Drosophila melanogaster: one gene and its partner. The protein of the gene in region 1 interacts with the protein of each later gene in a pairwise test. Each region holds a gene or a part of one and is shown in the gene's direction. Other genes may lie near its edges. The genes, in order: CG34396 and AOX3.

The links.
Region 2: the proteins of CG34396 (region 1) and AOX3 interact in a two-hybrid assay, tested with the Drosophila melanogaster proteins (one large-scale study listed by BioGRID).

Annotation. Positions count from the first base shown.
Region 1 is NT_033778.4:21,094,743-21,104,930, forward strand, and holds CG34396 (uncharacterized protein), read left to right. Parts: upstream 1-3,015; 5' UTR 3,016-3,369; coding exon 3,370-5,102; intron 5,103-5,165; coding exon 5,166-5,323; intron 5,324-5,472; coding exon 5,473-6,509; 3' UTR 6,510-6,711; downstream 6,712-10,188. Other genes in the region: Gar1 ribonucleoprotein, read right to left, coding at 1,385-1,527, 1,585-1,965, 2,300-2,489; ktub (king tubby), read left to right, coding at 7,834-7,875.
Region 2 is NT_033777.3:15,539,228-15,551,316, reverse strand, and holds AOX3 (aldehyde oxidase 3), read left to right. Parts: upstream 1-3,128; 5' UTR 3,129-3,347; intron 3,348-3,400; 5' UTR 3,401-3,792; intron 3,793-3,858; 5' UTR 3,859-3,922; coding exon 3,923-3,962; intron 3,963-4,433; coding exon 4,434-4,588; intron 4,589-4,647; coding exon 4,648-5,382; intron 5,383-5,439; coding exon 5,440-5,673; intron 5,674-5,728; coding exon 5,729-6,820; intron 6,821-6,879; coding exon 6,880-7,588; intron 7,589-7,647; coding exon 7,648-8,447; 3' UTR 8,448-8,569; downstream 8,570-12,089. Other genes in the region: AOX4 (aldehyde oxidase 4), read left to right, coding at 1-1,064, 1,121-1,829, 1,890-2,689; AOX2 (aldehyde oxidase 2), read left to right, coding at 8,928-9,140, 9,268-10,002, 10,434-10,667, 10,734-11,178, 11,242-12,089.

The DNA of each region.
Region 1 (10,188 bases):
CGACACAATTTGCTGCCTTGTAAACAGGATGGCAAATTGTGCTGAGTGCTGAGTGCATTCGGTATAATCAACTTGTCAAAATTGGCACAGATATGTATAAACAAAACGTAGAACCTCAATGGGATTTTTTTTTATGATCTAGCGCACTTAATTTGAAATCGAGAGTCTGCCTTGGAGGTCTGCGGTGACTCACCTGAGTATTTAAATTTAAGCTCACTATATTTAGTGTGCAGCTAATTTAAGCAAAAGATGACACAAAAATATTACACAATTCACCATAAAATATTTACTTGAGTGACTTGTAAGATATAAACATATAATGTATCTTGTTTATTACTGGTTTCTATTGATTTATCAGATCGATAAACCGGAAAACACTTCATAATCATCATGCGAAATCATAAAACTGTTGCTGCTGCGATTAAAATAACGCTTACTGAAATCATTCTATGGCCGACAATTCTATAAAATGGTGCATGCCCAAATGGAAAACAAATCGCGAAGGCAATTCGGAAATGTTGAATGAAATTGCCTAGAAATAAACAAATACGAAATCACAGCGAAATTCCATAAAAGCGAATACGATCCGTCATCAACGTTTCAGGGGAGAGGATCGATCACAAAGGGGCTACGGAAAGTATCTGATGAAAATTATACAAGAAATTTTAATTTATTTGTATTTTGAAAGTGCAGAAATACTTTGAGCCCACAATGACGTCAGTGGGCATAAAGATAATATATGAGAAGGCAAAAAGAAATCATTTTCGATTTTTGGCACATATAATTACACAAAAGTTTCTTCGTTCTTCGAGAAGAGAACAGCTGCAAATTTAACAAATTATATGCATGAATCGAACGGCAATTGGAAAGCGGAAGGAAACCCCCATACCGAATAGTATTGGGCATTTTAAACAAACCTCGAAGAATTCATAAAATTTCAAGGGAATTCGGATGAGTGCGATTCTCTCATAAAGTCGATACATTATTGATCCCCAAATTCTAGACGATGATAGTTGTGCAACCACTTCATATAAATCATTAAGGTGCTCTAATCAAATGTATTATTTTCACACAAAACCATTTTTCGTTATAAACCACTATCTTCTCAATAAGTGAGCAAATGTTTGACATTCTATTGTTAATTAACTGTCTTCATAAATGATAAAATATCACTTAAACTTCAATTAACTATATGTTTTCAGTTATATCATGTTTGTAAATTTGTAGGAAATTTATTTTAGTATCATTTATGGTACAATATTCGATTGATTGGTCAGCGAACAATACCCAAATGATGAGGTTTTGCTTAGAAACTATTTGGACATGTACAACAATTGGATTGTACACTTCTTTAAATGTTTTGATTAGGATCTGATACTGAAAACTACCACCGACCCCGACCACCGCCGCCGCCGCCACCGCCTCCTCGTCCTCTGTTAAAACCGCCGCCGCCGCCACCTCCTCCATTGCGACCAGCACCTCCTCGGAATCCGCCTCCACCTCGTCCGCCGCCACCACCGCGACCACCTGTTGATAAACACAAGTTAGGACTTTGGGGTGCACTCATGAAATTCACTATCTTACCTCCTCCGCGGCCGCCACCTCGGCCTCCAAATCCACCGCCACCGCCGCCTCCACCTCGGTTATTTGTGAAGGCTTTCTTGGCGCCTTTTGGTTGTGGAGGTTTCGGCAGAAATCTGGCGATGGGTAACAGCTTTCCAGGGTCGATAAACAGTTTCTGATTTGGCTTGAAGCTGTTGGCGTAGACGTTGTCCGACAGCTTGATGGACACGCTGTAGTCCCGAACTGTTCCAAAGATTTCGTCGATTTTGCCTACTTGCTCCTTGTTTTCAAGGAAAATGGGCGCGTTGAAGTAGGGAACATCCTGAATATCAACTTTGCACACAAGGTCGTTTTGGCAGGAGTAAACATAGTTGCCCAAGGGGATGACTCTCTCTGGTGGACCTACAATTAAAAAAATAAGATATATTATTAAAGTGACAAAATGGAAATGAGTATTTGGCAATTTGCCTGAACATAGCAAGCATTTAAGACAGCGTATACCTATAGGAGACTTCCAGATGTGTTTTTAGCTAATATATTTATATATATAGCCCATGATTATAGCCTACAACGGCTTGGCTATTCAAAATTTGAGAGAACAACGTGGTTATTGTAATTCTATTCGCACAATCTGTATTAACTGCTTGTTTTAAGTGACGTAGTTAGCCTTAGTTCACAGGCTAGCTTAGTTTGGATGATTAGTTATAGGAATAGTTGGCGACTTTCATTCACTTACCAGTGTCGAAGGCTCCACGGCCGCCACCACGTCCACCTCCACCTCGACCGAATCCGCCGCCACCTCCGCGTCCTCCGCCACCTCCTCGTCCACCTCCACCTCCACCAAATCCTCGTCCTCCTCCGCCTCCGCCTCCACCGAAGCCTCTTCCGCCGCCGCCACCGCCGCCACGAGGTTTACCAAATCCCATTTTCAAATATTATTAAAATTGAACGCAAAAACACGTGCGCGTTCCGATCAACCAAAATATTTAGAGACGGAAGAAATTCAAATTTCGTTATCGACTTATCGATAGCCACGGCCATGTGTTTCAGTATATACGGTTGTATATTATACGGTCACACTAGGCACAAGGGGCGGATTTTTTGAAACTTCTATTTCAATAAAATTATTTAAAACTATTTTTAACAATCGACCTGATTATTAATTTCTTAGTCTTTTTTTTTAAAAACAGTTATTTTTTTATGCATATGAATAGTTTTAATGAAGATCGTTTAACTAAGACAAATTCCTGGTGCTTTTTTTATAAGCATTAAATATTCACTAAGAGAACATAAAACATTGAGTAAGAGAGAATCATCAAAAACATCATCGGATGCATTATAGATATATATATATATAGATATCTATAGCCGAACAGCTGTTGAGACATCTACCAAAAATATAGACAAGCAAAGTGAAAATGAATATTTGAATTTTCTCCAACTGCTGAGAGCAGTTGGATGCCAGCCGTGGACGAGGAAGCGAGAAATAGAAGCTAAATCTATTCGATCGTGTCGCGACGTCGAAAGAAGCAGATACATAAAATTCTATATGCAAATAGATAATATAGCAAAATAATTTCAAAAATTTTCGGACAAGTGCAGACTTTAAAAGTTTCAGAAAGTGCACAATACATACATATAATACGAAATTGCAATCGAAAGTGATATAATTACCCGAGGCATATTTTCATATGTGGAATATGAACGCCTCGTTGGGCAGTTAAAAATAGATTAATAGATGGCTAAATGACGAGCACGAGCACAAAGATAGATCGCGAAAGTAGCACACGACTGCGGCTGGACAAGATGGAGCAGCCGATGGACGCCAGGCAGCAGCAGCGCCATCGAAGGCGCCTGGGTCGCAGCCACCGGGAACCGACGCCCGTCACTGGAGACGCCCTGCCCCAGGACGATGCCAGTCCGGATGCCCTCCCTGATCCATCACCTCAGATGGTGCGCATGCAGATCAGGCCACCCGGCTCGATGTCCGCCCACGAGAGCAAGATCCTGCGAAAGCGGGACAAGTCCTTCGCCAGCTCCTCGGCGCGTAGTCAATCGCAGCCACGGGAGGCTGAGAAGCTGAGTAGTCCGGATGCCAATCATCTGATCAAGCATCGCAGCCTCTCCTCGCCGCGGCACAAGGAGGAGTCCAGCGAGAGTGAGCTGACCACCGGCAGCAGTAGTCAGCAGCAAAGGCCCATTCCTAATCTTGGCCAGACACAGGATACGCTAAGCAGATTGGAGCAGAATCTGCAGCGCTTCGAGGACGAACGACGGCGTTTCGAGGCCGAGAAGAGGCTCTTTGAGCGCGAGAAGCGGGAGCACAAGATGCGCCATCGCCAGCAGCTGGACAACGAGGAGCGCAAGCGCCTCCTGCAGAGCTACCGCAAGCTCAGCGATCGCATCCAGCTGCCGCAGGACGAGGAGGAACGGCGCCGCCTCATCCACAGCCTGCGTCTGCAGCGACACGAGGCGCCCAAGACTCGGGGTCGCAATCGAAGTAGCGGCTACGATGAGTCCTCCACCCAGTTCAGCTCCTCCGATGCCGATGCGACGGAGGAGACTCACCCGCGGCCCCGAGCACCTAAGATTCCCCAGGGCTTTGTGGCAGCCCCAATCCGCGGCGCACCTCCACCGCCGCCATCGGCGTCGACAGCTCCAAAACCACCGGAAAGGCTGTCTGTGAGTCGCAACAACTCCCTGTCGCCCGTGAGACCACAGCGACGATCCAAGACTCCGGAGCAACGGGAGGAGATCCTCCGGAAGCACGAGTACTTGGAGGTGGGCGAGTCCAGAGACGAGGTGATAAAGCCCCGCATCTCGGAGGCAGAACAGCAGTCGGAGCTGATGCAAAAGTACATGGAGGCCGCTGAGCGGGCGGCAAAAGCGGAGGCCGCCCTGGCGGAGCAAATCCTGACGGCGGAGGGAGTGCGTCGCAGTCACAGCTTGAGATTAGCGGATAAGGAAGAGAAGCCTCAAAAGCGCAGCTCCAGTTTGGAGCGTCCACTAAGACCCAAGCGATCGGGCAGTTTGGAAAGAAAGGAACAGGTAACTCAAGAGCTCCTTGAGGGAACTACTACAAATGAAGCTGATACGGAACCAAAATCTCTTGGGGATCAACCCTTGTTGCCAGAGGAATCCATCTCAGAGGCGAAACCCAAAGTTACCTTATGGCAGCGGCTGAAAAATCTGTTTAGGCGAAAGAAGAAGATTCAGGCAAAGGGCGAAGATGTCACAGATCTGTCCACAGAATTGCCACTGGAGAAGTTGGCCTCCAGGGGTCTGCTGTACAGTTTCAGCCTAGAAGCCCGGCATGAATGGAAACGCCTCAAGCTGGACTATCCCCAAAAGGTGAAGGAACTGCGTCAGCTACGCAACAGGTGCATTGCCTATCTCATCTGCATGGCTATGCTTCTGGGATTCGGAGGACTCCTGTTCCGGTACACGGAAGGAGCAGCGGAGAATATATACAAGTGCGAGGTGCGCAAGGTGAAGCGGGATTTCATAGACCGACTGTGGGACGTCAGCCACAACATGAGGTAGTACCAATGGTGCCAAGTGGTAGCCCAGTTCTGTGAGTGATTCATTTGTATCTTTGCCAGAGAGGAGGACTGGAAGTCTCTTGCCCGCCAGAAGCTGCGCAGCTTCGAGGATGAACTAAATAATTTAGCCGAGTTGGGACTACGCCGCTATCCGGGCCAAAAGTCCTGGAACTTTGTCAATTGCTTCATCTTCTGTTGGACCGTGATCACAACTATAGGTAATGGGTTACAATGGACCCATAACCATCCAAAACTCCTAAATCCTTTCGTTAGTTCTTATATATGAGCATATTTCCATTTTAGGTTCTTTTTTTAGTTAGTCATATTTAACTTATTAACTCCCATGCCTTCTTCTCTTCCTTTCCAGGTTACGGCCACATCACTCCAAAGACGGGCATGGGTCGATCCCTGACCATCGTCTATGCCATCATCGGCATCCCCATGTTCCTGATCGTGCTGGCCGATCTGGGCAAGTTATTCACGCGCTGCGTCAAGTTCCTGTGGGTGTATGTGCGACGGATGTACTACACGCGCTCCTGCCGCCGGATACGAAAGCAGCAGCAGATCCGGAGCGCCATGACAGGCTTCAATACGATGTACGACATGGCCATCCGCAGGCCGAGCATGTTCTTCAGCAACTCTGCGCCAGAGAACGATGAGGAGTCGCAGGCGGATGCCGAGGCCGCAAGATCGGTGGGCACCTCGCACCCGGAGACACCCACATCACCCTATCCAGAGACCTTCGAGGTGGACGACGAGTTCAATTTGCCAGTGTCGGTGGCCTCGCTGCTGCTCATTACGTACATCCTCCTAGGATCCTTCGGCTTTCTAATGATGGAGCCCAGCTGGACTCCACTGGATGCCTTCTACTACGTGTTCATCTCGATGTCCACAATTGGGTTCGGCGACCTGGTGCCCAGTAATCCCTTCTACGTAATGGTCAGCATGATCTATCTGATGTTCGGCTTGGCCCTGACCTCCATGTTCATCAATGTGGTGCAGATCAAGCTGAGCGATCACTTCAAAATGGCCAGCGCCAAAGTGGGCGCCACCATTGGCATGAACATGACCAGCGAGCTTGGTGATGAGGGCGGCTCCCAGGTGAAGACTCCCTCCGAGCTTGCCTCGGTGCACGGTTCGCGACTGGACAGGATCGAGGAGGATGGCCAGGAGGCGAATGGCAATGGCCACTCCCCGGTGCCACCACTCACCTCGATCCTGCGCGCACCGCGTCCTCTATCGCCGGCGTCCAATGGAGTGGATGCTAATGGAGTTGGAGCCGATGCTGTTGGAGCTGGGGATGTTACTCCGCCACCTCTGCTGCCCAGGCGTCAGGTTTCCGTGGATCCCCAGCCGCCGGCGGAGGGGGAGAACAAGAAGAAGAAAAAGCACAGGTTTTTCTAGAATCCCTGGGATCTTCCGCCTCCAAACAAAAAAAAAACCGACAAAGTTAACGTGTAAGAAACCTCAAAAATGACAAGGCAATTTCAATCGAATTTACCGTAACGCGAAACTCTATATTCATTTATTTGTTATTTAATTTTACTCACCATCATCGTAGCATAAGTCTAATGTTAATGAAATAAAGCGCGCGAGTTGACAACGCAAATTGATGTTTTTAATTGTTGTAAATTCCGCTTAAGGATCATAATCATAAAGTTGTATAATTTTTCAACACTCTATTATCCTGTTATCAGCGTGGTTTTTTGCTCAATCCGGAATCGAATTGCCAGATGCGTATGCTTTGTACGGGAATGCATCCCAAAATCCCAGTAACAGGGAGTCGGGGGCGCGAATCCAAATGCAGTCGCAGTCGGCAGCTGCACATCTGTCGCTCGTAGGAAATGGAAGAGGAAGCAGCCACAGGAGGCGTTGTGCGGAGAGAGAGAGAGAGAGGGAGAGAGGGAGAGACCCATTCCCATTGAGAGCGAGTTGTGGTTCTCTCTGCCTCTCTTTCGCTGACACACGACAGGATGGCATGCTTCGCACTCCTGCTTCGGCTGGCATTCGTGTGCATGTTCCGTTTCCATTCCGTTCCGCTACGAGCACTTCGCCTGAGTTGACGGCTTCTGTTGGACGCCCAGTTGTTGTTTTGGCAGCGTGCGGTTCGGTCGACGGGTTACATCGCCTTCTCTCCTCTACCAAAATAAAGAGGCGCCAAATTCAATCAATTGGACAATATCACACGCAACTCAACGGGCACGAAAGTGTTTGTCAAACAACATAGATTGTATAACATTATAAATATATGCATATTCAGGCGGTACTCGCTCAGTGGCTAAAGCAAACATTCAGTGCCAGCGATCCGGAGAATTCCGATCGATCGCGTCGGTACAAAAAAAATTGAGCGAGAACAGGAAGAGCCGGCTGTTGGCTTCAGTCTACAAATCCTCACCCTCGTGAACACCCCTTGATTTTTTTGTTGTCGCGTGTGCTGCCGTACTACACTACCACAAACTACAAAATATATACCATACCATACAAACTGACGCCAGGTGTGCTAAATTCATAGATTCTTCTTCAATTATTTTGGTGCCCCATCGGTTTTTGTTTTGCTGCATTCATTCGCATTCGAAAAGTCGCTCTTCAACGCAAATCCCAAAACAGCTGTCACTCCCGAATATTTGCCAAATGCCTCTTCATCGGATCATCTGAATCGCGCGTAGTTAAGTGAAAATCGTCAGAGGATTTTGATTGCCTTCTGAAATCTACAGCCATAACTGCAAAAATGTCCGGAATCAACAGTCGTAATCAGAAAATGGAACAGCAGGTAAACCCAACACTCCAATTTGGCAGATCTTTTCTAGATTTTACCAAACCTATAATCTTTGATAATGTAATCTCTGAAATTTGAATTTCTTTAAATGTGTCATTCATATCCATTGTGTTTGATAATCTTCATAAAGTGGACACATTAAACCAACGATCCTATATTATAACAAAACCAATCTATACATACGACAGCGAAATTTATGAACAATTTAATGGCTACTTGTATTAAACTTTTGCTTTAGCTAAGAATTCTTTAAGAACTTTTTTTCAATTGACCATGAATCAAGGCAAGTTAGCACTGGCCTTTTAACTCTTCCAGCCCGACGGTTCGTGAATGTGGTCTAGAAACAAGAAAATCCACTCCTTTCTTGGAAAACTCGGGCAGCCCATAGCAATCAGCGCCAGCAGAAAAGGGGCCATCAGCCGGCATTACACGGAATTGTTCACTTTTTGGCCTCAAAGTTGACCGCTCTAAATGTGCCACCCCTTAAAGGCAACAAAAAAAAAAGGAAAATGAAACACCCAAGTGGCTTAACGCCTTCTCCAAGTGGTTTTGTTGTGCCCGTTTGCTCGTGGCCAGGTGTTCGTCCGTTGTCCTGGCAACGGCGTCCAAATAAATCGAAACGAAGCTCCTGGTGGTGGTGCAGTTGCTGCAGTCCGATTCGATTGTCATTGGCCCTAATTATGTTGAGTGGCACGGAACCAAAAGGCACCCTACTCCACCCACTGGCTCATAAATCGAATCACTTCGATGTGGTTGAGTTGGGCTGCCAAGTGTGGGAGGTCCTGGGTCCTTCGAGTTACTTCGATTTCGTGCCGCTATGGCTTATAAAACATTGAGCAGCTATTGACAGCTTCTTCGAATGGGAGGACATTTTGAAAACATTATGCCAAGTCATTTCAGCTACAAATGAAATAGCTTGAAAGAAATCGAAAATAAGTGGAAGCCATGGGAGCGCATTTCATTTTGATTGAATTTTAATTTTAATTATAAATTCACATTGAATCATCTCACAAATTCCCATGAATTAACACATTTCGTGATTACCATTTTAAAGCAGCTTGTTTGAATAATGTTTGCTTTATCACATTCATTTTCAAATGCGAGTATAAATATGATAAATATTCACTTGCTGAGTCAAGCTAATTTTCTTTGAACGTGTTAGCATAGAACATTAATCCTTCCGAACAATCGTTTTGGGTCATTTTCTCGAGCTTAAGCCAACACAAAGTTATATCCGCCATAAAAAAGAGAATGTGGCACAAAAAAACGGAGTCAATTTGCACTTGGCATAAATCAACAGAAAGATATATGGCAGTCAACTCATAAAGTGGTCGCTAAATATACACAAAGGATTAATAAAGTCTTCGGCCTGGACGCCAGCTAACCCACAATGTAGTATCCTTTCTTTGATTGGTGTCCTGCGTCACTATGGGCAACTACCCACACACACACACACACAGATATGTCCAGGCAGACAGGATTCTATAGTATCCCCATAGGAACACAGACAGACAGCGCAACTAGAAATATACACAATACCATTCGTTGGCATTGTTTTCGTATTGCCATCACCCATGGAATACCATTAAGCGAGGCCACAAAATCGATTCCCGCCTGGTGACGAGTCCTTCAGCTTCGCGAGGAACTGAGCCGCAGGATAATGCCCAGCAATAAGTCACACAATTGTTCACTACTTCCACATATGAATATAATATTTGCTTTCCGCAAATCGCTCAAGCTTTTCCTCACGCAAGTCGTAAAAAGAAACATTTCGGCCAAAAAAAAAGGATGTGACGCACCGACTTTTTCTAATAAGTTACTTGCGTAGATTAGGGTGAACCTTTAAAGCTTGAGAAGTGATTAAAAAATATGATTTGACTAGAGTAGAGCTCAAGCAGAAAAGAGACCCGCCATCTAACTGACCATATATAACTTTCTTTTGATCAAATGAACAAAGTTTATTCGGTGTACTTCCAACTGCTGTTTTTAGCATTAAGAAAAAGGTCCACCCTAATATGTATATTAGCCTAACTTCACTTAGCTTTACGGCTTTTGCCCTTTGTTTCGAGCCTGTAATTTTCGTTCTGTTGCTTCAAATACGAGGTTCTTGACCCAACGAGAGGAAAAGCCGGCTAAAACGAAATCGAATTTACCAAACTTTTCGTCTGACAGCCAAAGTCGAGATTTAATATTTAATAAGAATACGATACCTTATTAAATGTGCATTTGGAGCTGTCATTATGAACTGATTGATTGTTTCGGTAAGAGCTGTATTATTATTTGACTTCTGTCTCAAATTACCCGGCA
Region 2 (12,089 bases), on another chromosome or scaffold:
CTTATGTTAATGCAGGATTTCTTCTGGAATTGGATGGCAACTCAATGGTGAAATCTGCCCGTATTTGCTTTGGTGGAATTCGACCGGATTTCATTCATGCCACAGATATTGAACAGTTAATGGTGGGTCACAGTCCCTACGAATCAAATTTGGTGGAACAAACATTCAACAAGCTGGAGAGTCTGGTCAAGCCGGATGAGGTTCTACCCGATGCCAGTCCCGCCTACCGTTCCAAATTGGCCTGCGGACTGCTCTACAAGTTCCTCTTGAAACACGCCCCCGATGCGGAGGTCAGCGGAAAGTTCAAGAGCGGCGGTGAGCTGCTCCAGCGGCCACTCTCCTCCGGCTTGCAGCTCTTCCAGACCAATAAACAGACCTACCCCGTGACACAGGGCGTGCAGAAGCTGGAGGGCATGATTCAGTGCTCCGGAGAGGCCACATATATGAACGATGTGCTGACCACTTCCAACTCCGTTTACTGCGCCTTTGTGGGCGCCACAAAGGTGGGAGCCACCATTGATCAAATCGATGCTACGGAAGCTCTCCAACATCCAGGAGTGGTGGCCTTTTACACTGCGAAGGACATTCCCGGAACGAATACTTTCTGTGAGCCCAGTTTTGGTTACGAAGCGGAGGAGATTTTCTGCTCTGGAATGGTGCGCCACTCGGAACAACCAGTGGGTGTAATCGTGGCTCTTACTGCTGACCAAGCCCAAAGGGCAACAAAGCTTGTCAAGATCAGCTATAGCAGCCCCAGTTCCAACTTCAAGCTGATGCCGAGTTTGAAGGATGTGTTCTCCTCCGAAACTCCAGATACTTCTCGCATTATACCCTTGGTTATATCAAAGCTTAAGGAAGTAAAGTTTTCTGACAAACCTGATTTGGAAGTGAGGGGCATATTCGAGATGGGACTGCAGTATCACTTCACCATGGAACCGCAGACCACTATTATTATTCCCTTTGAAGATGGACTAAAGGTCTTCTCGGCTACCCAATGGATTGATCAGACTCAATCAGTGATTGCTCATACCCTGCAGATGAAAGCCAAAGATGTGCAACTAGAGGTAAGACAAATACTTAAATAAATTTTTGTCTTATTATTTGAGTACTTTCGTTGCAGGTTCGCAGATTGGGTGGTGGATATGGCTGCAAAATATCCAGAGGTAACCAGGTTGCCTGTGCAGCCGCCTTGGCTGCCCATAAGCTGAATCGTCCCGTTCGCTTTGTCCAATCCCTGGAGTCCATGATGGATTGCAATGGAAAGAGGTGGGCCTGTCGTTCCGAATATCAGTGTCACGTGAAGACCAGTGGCAGGATCGTCGGGCTGTCCAACGATTTTTACGAGGACGCTGGCTGGAACACGAACGAGAGTCCTGTGCAAGGACACTCCACTTTCACAGCAGCCAACTGCTATGAATTCACCGATAGCAACTTCAAGCTGAGTGGTCATGCTGTTCTTACGGATGCCCCAAGTTCCACTTGGTGCCGTGCTCCTGGATCAGTGGAGGGCATTGCTATGATGGAGAACATCATCGAGCACGTGGCATTCGAAATCCAGAAAGACCCAGCCGAAGTGCGACTAGCAAACATTAGTAAGAAGAGTAAGATGGCAACCGTCTTTCCAGAGTTCCTCAAGACTAGGGAGTACTACTCCCGGAAGAAGGAGATCGAGGCATTCAATGCCAACAATCGATGGAAAAAAAGAGGCTTGGGTCTCTCCTTGATGAACTTCCCCATTATCTACATTGGGCAGTTTCCGGCAACGGTGACTATTTACCATGTAGATGGCACTGTTGTGGTTACCCATGGGGGCATAGAAATGGGTCAGGGTAAGTAAGGGAGCAGACTTTTATAGGATTTGTAGTGATTACCTCCTTTATGCTTTATAGGTATGAATACAAAGATAGCTCAAGTGGCGGCCTATACCCTGGGAATCGATTTGAGCTACGTGAAAGTGGAGTCCTCAACTAGCATCAATGGAGCCAATTCAATGGTCACTGGCTATGCCATCGGAAGCGAGAGTGTCTGCTACGCAGTCCGTAAGATCTGCGAGACGCTCAATGCCCGATTGAAGCCAGTGAGGAAGGCCAAGGCCACTTGGGTGGAGACTGTGGAAGCGGCCAATGCCCAGTTGATCAATCTGATAGCCTCGGATCACTACAAGACCGGCGACATGCAGAACTACCATGTGCTGGGACTTGCCCTTTCCGAGGTGGAGATCGATGTGCTGACCGGCAACATTCTGATCAGGCGGGTGGACATCCTAGAGGACGCCGGTGAGAGCCTGAGTCCCTGGATAGATGTCGGTCAGGTGGAGGGCGCCTTCGTCATGGGCCTGGGCTACTGGCTCAGCGAACTGCTCATCTACGAGGGCGACAATGGTCGCCTGCTGACTAACCGCACATGGAACTACAAGCCGTTGGGTGCGAAGGACATTCCCATTGATTTCCGCGTGGAACTGGTCCACAATCCACGACCGAGTAGTTCGGGTTTCATGGGCTCAAAGGCCACCGGAGAGCCTCCTTGCTGTTTGGCTGTTAGTGTGATTTTTGCACTTCAACAGGCTCTGCAATCAGCGCGCCAGGATGCAGGACTTCCTCGGGAGTGGCTTCGCTTGGGGGCACCCACAACTCCAGAGACTCTGCTACTAAATGCCGGACACCAAGTCTCGGAGTTCAAGTTGAAATAATGTCAATTAAATATATCGAAGAGCGGATAAACATATTTTAAATGCAAAAAGTATCGTCAATATTATAATCCAAAAATATACATTTTACGCCAATTAAAAATCTATCTACATATGCAATTAATTAATTTTAACATAACTTGCATTCCATTTTTTATTCATATTTATTCATTTTGCTTAACTAATCGTTTTTCTCAATGTATTATGTCATCCAAAGCTTGATATTCTAGTTTTTTTTTCATCCGGAGCTTTCAAAATGATTTATTTGTTTTGAAAGCTCCAAATTCCGAACAGAGAGAAAAACTGTATGTTTTTTCGCCGGCCGGCTAAATCGTTCTCTTTACATTTATCGCGGCACTCTCTTTTATTTTTAGTGTACACGTGATTCGCTTTGCCGGTTTTTTTATAGTTCGTATCACGCTCGTCACGAATTAAAAGCATATTTGCGAGTCTGCCCATTTGGAATAGTCATTATTATACATACAATACCTTGAAAATATTTAATTCATATGTATCTAATCAAATCATAGGCATATAAAATTAAAATGCAATCTTAGTTAAACAGAGGCTTTCTCTGTTGATAGAGTAATTATGTGACTCAGCAATATTTCTGTTCATTTCATTGGCAGCTACTGCATACCCTATCAATTGCATTTAATTGGTGAGATACAATATATTAATACTTTTTAACTATTACATTTGGAAGTTTCATAGCGCGGAAGGGTATCTAAAGTGTACATCTGCCGATTCTATGCCCCCTTTGCACAGCTATTTTTACAAACATCGAAAATTTGCCGACGAATTGGGTGGCAAAGCAACAAGCAAAATTCGGCGGCACCAGTTTTTTTTTTGATTTTTTGCGCATAGAGACTTCGAGTCGAGGCGAGGAGCAACCAGTCCACAATTTGCAATTAACGTCGATCGTCGAGCTCGACAGGCTGCTCAAATCGTTGTTGGCTCTCACGGAGTGTGTCGAAACTAACTTTTTTTTTTTTGTTTACGGCATTCGAGAAAATCGCAATCTAAAAACGGAGGAACCTCTACTCGAGCCCCAATGTTTTGATCAGTCAGTCGAACAGCAACACTCGCAGCGACCGGAGCAAAAAGTGAGCAGCAAATGGAAAATAATGGAAAGCCACTGGCCAAGTCGCAACTAATTGAATTATTTATAGAAAACACTTCAGCAGCTGACATTTTAGTTTTTGCTACGCCGTTTTTTGCTGGAAAACTATCAGAATGACTACGAAATTCTCAATCAATGGGCTGCCCTATGCAGGTGAGTTATACATACATATGTAGCTACATATGTATGTATCATGGTGATTATCGACTATGGGCCAGAAAATCAGTTCACGGCAATACTTCACCATCAAGTGCTTGGTTCTCGTAACTTATCAGTTAGCTATAAAGTTACATATATGTACACATTGTAGATACCCTAAATACTAGAATTTTCTCTAATGAGAGTGTTTACTTCTGAACGTTGCAACGCCTCTAGCTTTAAAGCAGGTGTATCATTAAATTCGCCAGATCTCAAAATCAAGTGGCTGTGGAACTCGAATAACATTAATTGAAATTACATATGTATACACATATGAACACGCAGCTGGTAAACAAATTAGTGTGCAAATTTGAGGCCCATTGTTCGATGTTTTTTCACAAGCTCACATTCAGGTTTTTGTAATTAATTATACCCATACTACTATATGCGCTTCATCTCCGCTCCATCACTCGTTGTACTCCTCAGTGAATCTAACTAACCTTCCGCCGGATATCACTCTGAACACCTTTATCCGCGAGCATGCCCAACTCACGGCCACCAAATTCATGTGCCAGGAGGGAGGATGTGGCGCCTGCATCTGCGTGGTGCGCGATGGAAAGCGCAGCTGGGCTGTCAATTCGGTTGGAGCATATTCCGTGCAACTAACCCGATCGATCTCTAATGAATTACCTCTCTTTAGTGCCTCACTCTGCTGAATACCTGCGCCCAGCTGGAGATCGTGACCGCCGAGGGATTGGGCAATCAGCGCACCGGCTACAATCCCATCCAGAAGCGTCTGGCCAAAATGAATGGCACCCAGTGCGGCTTTTGCTCGCCGGGATTCGTGATGAACATGTATGGGTTGATGGAGCAGAACGAAGGCAAGGTCACCATGGCGGAGGTGGAGAACTCCTTTGGTGGGAATATCTGCCGTTGCACTGGATATCGTCCAATTCTGGATGCCATGAAGTCCTTTGCGGTGGACAGTAACATTGCGATTCCCGCCGAGTGCGGGGACATTGAGGATCTAAAACCCCGGAACTGCCCAAAGACCGGACAAGCCTGCAGTGGTAGCTGCCTTCCGTCCACTTTGGTCTACGAAGATGGTGTTCAGTGGCACTGGCCCAAGAGTCTAAGCGAACTGTTCGACGCCCTAGACAAGGTGAAGGACTCGGAGGAGTTCATGTTGGTGGCTGGCAACACGGCTCATGGGGTCTACCGAAGGTCGACGGATATCAAGCACTTCATCGACGTCCAGGGAGTGGAGGAACTGCATCAGCACAGCTCTGAGGGACAGCAATTGAAGCTAGGAGCTAATCTCAGTCTCACCCAGACCATGGAAATCATTCGTACTACTTCAAAGCAGCCAGGATTTGAGTACTTGGACGTTCTGTGGAACCACATTGATTTGATTGCCAATGTTCCAGTGCGAAACGTAAGTAGATTTGTTTTGATTAGTTTGAGTTATACATTTATTTTCGTATCGTTACAGTCTGGAACTTTGGCTGGCAATATTTCGATCAAAAAACAAAATCCCGAGTTTCCTTCGGATATTTTCATATCCTTTGAGGCCCTGAATGTTAAAGTGGTAGCTTTGAAAAACGCTGCTGATGAAAAGGAAATGTCCCTTGCAGAATATCTGGGCACAAATGATAAAAAGCTGGTGCTCAAAACTTTTGTTCTTCCTGCCTACCCGAAGGACAAATACATTTATGAGTCCTATAAGGTATACAACTTAAGCTAACTTTGGAATATATTTTCTTATACTTAAACCTCCGCAGATCATGCCTCGTGCCCAAAATGCCCATGCTTATGTCAACGCCGCTTTTCTCCTAGAATTGGAAGCCGACAACAAGGTGAAATCTGCTCGAATTTGCTTCGGTGGAATCCGTCCAGATTTTATCCATGCCTCAGCTATTGAGAAACTGCTGGTGGGACAGAATCCCTACGAATCAAGTCTGGTGGAGCAGACATTCACAAAACTGGAAGATCTGATTAAGCCTGATGAAGTGCTGCCGGATGCCAGTCCCGCTTACCGTTCCAAGTTGGCATGCGGACTATTCTACAAGTTCCTTCTGAAGCACGCACCCGTAGCTGAGGTTGGCGAAAAATTCCGAAGCGGAGGGCAGATCCTGCAGCGGCCTCTCTCCTCTGGATTGCAAGTTTTTCAGACCCAGAAGAAGAACTATCCCGTCACCCAAGCGGTGGAAAAAGTCGAGGGCATGATACAGTGCTCTGGAGAGGCCACCTACATGAACGATGTCTTGACCACTTCTAATACGCTGCACTGCGCCTTCGTGGGCGCCACCAAAGTGGGCTCCACCATTGATTCTATCGACGCCTCCGAAGCCCTCAAGCAACCTGGAGTGATCGCCTTTTACAGTGCCAAAGACATTCCCGGCACTAACACTTTCTGTGAGCCCAGTTTTGGTTTCGAGGTGGAGGAGATCTTCTGCTCGGGATTGGTGCGCCACTCAGAGCAGCCAGCTGGTGTAATCGTTGCTTTAACTGCTGACCAGGCACACAGAGCCGCGAAGCTGGTCAGGATCAGCTACAGCAATCCCAGTTCCGACTTCAAGCTGCAGCCGAGCTTAGGAGATGTATTCGCATCTCCAACTCCGGATTCCTCTCGCATAGTGCCAGCATCGAAATCGACATCCAAGAAGATCAAGTTCTCGGAACAGCCGGACAAGGAAGTGAGGGGCATCTTCCAGATGGGTCTGCAGTATCACTTTACCATGGAGCCCCAGACAACTGTGGCCATTCCCTTTGAGGATGGTCTCAAGATCTTTTCGGCCACTCAGTGGATGGATCAAACCCAGTCTGTAATTGCCCATATGCTGCAGGTGAAGGCCAAGGATGTTCAACTACAGGTATGTGTAATATCTGAATTATCATCTCCTGAATCTAATTCCAAATCTATTATATTCAGGTTCGTAGATTGGGAGGTGGCTATGGATCAAAGATCACCCGAGGTAACCAGGTGGCCTGTGCAGCTTCATTGGTTGCTTACAAGCTAAATCGTCCCGTTCGCTTTGTCCAATCCCTGGAGTCCATGATGGATTGCAATGGCAAGCGGTGGGCTTGTCGCTCCGACTACAAGTGTCACATTAAGGATAATGGCAAGATTGTGGGCTTGACGAATGATTTTTATGAGGACGCTGGCTGGAGTCCGAATGAAAGTCCCATTGAGGGTCATTCGACCTTCACGGCCGTCAATTGTTATGATTTGAACGGAGATAACTTTAAAAACAACGGAAATGCGGTGCTAACAGATGCGCCCAGTTCCACTTGGTGTCGTGCTCCGGGATCGGTGGAGGGTATTGCCATGATTGAGAACATCATCGAGCACGTTGCCTTCGAAGTTCAGAAAGATCCGGCTGAAGTTCGTCTTGCAAACATTGCGGCGGGTAATAAGATATCCGAGTTGCTTCCCCAGTTCCTTGAGTCTAGGGAATATGCCCAGAGGAAAAAAGAAATTGAGTCCCATAATGCCAAGAATCGTTGGACGAAACGAGGTCTCGGATTGGCGGTAATGGACTACCCCATTTTCTATTTTGGCCAGTACCCGGCTACAGTTGCCATCTATCATGTGGATGGCACTGTTGTGGTTACCCATGGAGGCATTGAAATGGGACAGGGTAAGTAAACAGCCCACTTAAGATACTATTTCATTGATAACATATTGATTTTCCTATAGGTATGAACACTAAGGTGGCTCAAGTGGCTGCCTACACCCTTGGCATCGATTTGAGCTTCATCAAGGTGGAGTCCTCCGACACCATCAATGGAGCCAATTCGATGGTCACCGGAGGAGCTGTGGGCAGCGAAAGTCTCTGCTATGCAGTTCGGAAGGCCTGTGAGACCTTGAACAGTCGCTTGGAGCCGGTGAAGAAGAAGGATGCCAGTTGGATTGAGACAGTTGAAGCTGCCTATGGCAAATCGATCAACCTGATTGCCTCTGATCACTACAAGAAGGGCGATATGCAAAACTATCATATCTACGGTCTGGCCCTAACCGAAGTAGAGTTGGATGTGCTAACTGGAAACAGTCAGATCAAGCGCGTGGATATACTGGAGGATGCCGGAGAGAGCCTGAGTCCCTGGATAGACATCGGTCAGATTGAGGGTGCCTTTGTCATGTGCCTGGGCTACTGGATGAGTGAGCAGCTGGTGTACGACCGGGAAACAGGTCGCCTCCTCACCAACCGCACCTGGAACTACAAGCCGCCGGGTGCCAAGGACATTCCCATTGATTTTCGCATTGAGCTGATTCAGAAACCCAATCCCTCTGGGGCGGGCTTCATGCGGTCGAAGGCCACTGGAGAACCACCCTGTTGTTTGGCTGTGAGTGTGGTTTTCGCCCTGCGACAGGCCCTGGATTCAGCCCGCCATGATGCAGGACTACCGCGGGAGTGGGTGCGTCTGGGTGCACCCACAACTCCGGAAACTCTGGTGGTCAATGCAGGACATGAAGCAGCCAGTTTTAGGCTTAAGTAAATATGTGGTTTTGATCGGCTTCTGTCCCATTTACATATACATATGGTTCTTTCTTTATACATATATTTGAAATATTATTAAAGTTTTTATATTGAAATGCATTTGGTTGCATTGTTATAATCAAGTTAAATATCTTGGTGGGATTATCATTCGTACGTGACATTAACAGCTCTTTCAAATTTTTGACTCATTCATATTGTGTTTTATGACAAAACGATAATTCTGGAAGTTATCACTTTAAAAACCATAAAATAGTGTTTAGCGGAATTTCTATTATAAATCTGTCAATTAAGTGCAAAGCATCAGCAAAAACTTAGTAAGTTTCGCAGAGTGCACGGTTTCGCTCAGTGTATGCTTTAGATGGCACTTTAATCTGCTCCAACCCGTTTAGCCTAATTAACGGGAAATCAGGTTTCAGCAGCGCTTTGAAATAGAAACGAATGACCAAAAGAGCTCCATTCGACCGACGACTGTGCAGCGATGAGCATCAAGTTCAATGTGAATGGCTTTCCGTACGAGGTGCAGGCGGCTGACTATCCACCGGACACCACCCTCAACACCTTCCTGCGGGAGCACCTGCACCTGACGGCCACCAAGTACATGTGCCTGGAGGGCGGCTGTGGCTCGTGCGTCTGCGTCATCCGCAGGCGCCACCCGGTCACCCAGGAGGTTCAGTCCAGGGCAGCCAACTCGGTAAGAAGTCACTTTTCGGGGAGTGGCTTTCTCCACACCTGAATACAGCGAGCAATAAAAAGTTAAATTTGTAATTACTAGAATTAAAATATAATTAAACTATGGGTTATTTCTGCCCATTCCACAGTGCCTGACGCTTCTGAACACCTGTGACGATGCGGAGATCATGACGGACGAGGGACTGGGCAACCAACTGAGTGGCTACCATCCCATTCAAAAGCGCGTGGCTCAGATGAATGGCACCCAATGTGGCTACTGCTCGCCAGGATTCGTGATGAACATGTACGGATTGCTGGAGCAACATCGCGGGCAGGTGAGCATGTCGCAGGTGGAGGACGCTTTCGGTGGAAACCTCTGTCGCTGCACCGGCTATCGACCCATTCTGGATGCCATGAAGTCCTTCGCGGTTGATAGCAACGTTGAGGTTCCGGCGGAAAGTGTGGACATCGAGGACTCCTTCGAGCTGCTCTGCCCGCGAACTGGACAATCCTGCAAGGGCAGCTGCTCGAGACCTCCGTTGAGGGATCATGGGGATAGTCAGTGGTACTGGCCAAAGACTCTAACGGAGCTCTTCGGAGCCCTTAGTCAGGTGGCGAACGGAGAACTCTACATGCTGGTGGCCGGGAACACCGCCCATGGAGTTTACCGGCGACCCAGGGACATCCGACACTTCATTGACGTGAATATGGTGCCGGAGCTGAGGCAGTACAGCATTGAGACGGATCACCTGCTGCTGGGCGGTAATGTCACTCTCACGGATGCCATGCAAGTTTTCCTGCTGGCTGCCAAGAGGCCCGGATTCGAGTATTGTGCCCAGTTATGGCAGCACTTCAACCTGATTGCCAATGTGCCGGTGCGAAATGTGAGTAGAGTGCTCCATAAAACCAGAAACCCGTTTCGGCGCTTGGCGAAGACGAAGATTAGCGAAAATAATAGTAGTTTTTGACAATTGAATGCTCTTTCTCCCGTGAAACGCTTATTTAAAAACTTATTTCAAGGCCAGTGAATTTTCGATTTATTATTCCACCATTGAAGTATTGTTCGTTTATATAGCAAAGTTAATTTACTTCTTAAATCACAGGCATTGCCTTGAGTTACTGTCCAGTTTTCTAACAAAAGCAATCAACTCTTAGCACAGAGAACATTTTAGCTTAAAAACCCATTTTACTTTCACAACAAAGATAGTAAATCAATTCAAGTCGCTGCAGACACTGAAAAAAAAATTTAGAAATGAAAAATGAAACAAATTGTAAAATATTATTACTTAAATAATTTATAATTAAATTTTCACAGAATGGCACACTGGCGGGCAACATAAACATCAAGAAGCAACATTTTGAATTTCCCTCCGATGTGTTCATCACATTTGAGGCTCTGGATGTCCACGTCCTCGTCTACGACAATCCCAGTACCCAAAGGGTGATGAACCTGCTGACGTATCTCGGTGATACAACCTCCAAACTGGTGCTGGGTGGTTTTATCCTAAAAGCCTATCCAAAGGACAGATTCCTGTTTAGATCTTATAAGGTGGATGAACTTATTCCTAAAAATATGAATTTAGTTAACTGAATCAATCTCCTCTCCAAACAATAGATCTTGCCCAGAGCGCAGAATGTTCATGCTTATGTGAATGCAGGCTTCCTCATTGAATGGCAGGACATTCAGCACAGGATTGTCCACTCCGCACGCATATGTTTCGGCAACATTCGACCAGATTACATACACGATGACCAAGTGGAGCAACTGCTTCCTGGCAGGGATCTGTACGATCCCGCCACAGTTGCGCAGATCTTTCAGGAACTCCCAGCTAGCTTGCAACCCGAGGAGCGTCCTCCGGAGGCCTCCCCGGAATATCGCCAAATGCTAGCCTGCTCCTTGCTTTACAAGTTTCTGCTGGCCACCGCACCCAAGGAGCGAGTTCGGGAGCGTTTTCGGACTGGAGGCTTGCTACTGGAGAGACCACTTTCCTCGGGAAGCCAATCCTTTGAGACGATTAAAAAAAACTATCCCGTCACGCAACCAGTTCAAAAACTAGAAGGTACATCGTTTAAGAAAACCCTTTTCCATACGTGGTATTATTATTATCGATTTGGATTTCCAGGTCTCATTCAGTGCTCTGGCGAGGCCACGTATATGAACGATCTACTGACAACCTCAAATGCCGTCCATTGTGCGTTTGTAACTGCGAAGAGAGTGGGTGCCACCATTGAGCAGATCGATCCTTCTGCTGCCCTTCAGTGCAAGGGAGTGGTGGCCTTCTATTCGGCCGAAGATATCCCAGGCTCCAACAACTTCGTTCTGGTGAATCAGCTTACACCTGAAGTGGACGAGGTCTTTGTTGCCGGGCGAGTCAAATACTTTGATCAACCGTTGGGAGTCATCGCAGCTCTCACCCATGATGCGGCTGTCTATGCTGCCACATTGGTTGTGGTCACATATGCCCGGGATCAGCGAAAGATCTTCACGACCATGAACCAAGTGTTAGCGGAAAAGCAAACCGATCGGATTGTGAGCACGAAGAAGGATACCGTGGAACCCCTAAAGCTGCCTCCTCTCGCACCTGGCGATGTTCTTGGCAGAGGGATCCTGGAGCTTGCGTCCCAATACCACTTCACTATGGAACCACAAACAACCATCGTGGTGCCGCTTGATAACATTCTGCAGGTATACTGCGCCACCCAATGGATGGACGCCACCCAAGGAGCGATTGCCCACATGTTGAAAGTTAGTGTGAACTCCATTCAGCTCCAAGTTAGACGAGTGGGTGGAGCGTATGGTGCAAAGGTCACTAGAGGCAATATAGTTGCTTGCGCCACGGCTTTGGTGGCTTCAAAGCTAAGGAGACCTGCCAGATTTGTCCAGACCATAGAGTCCATGATGGAGACCATTGGCAAACGATGGGCCTGCAGATCGGACTACGAGTTCCGAGCCAGAGCCAATGGATCCATT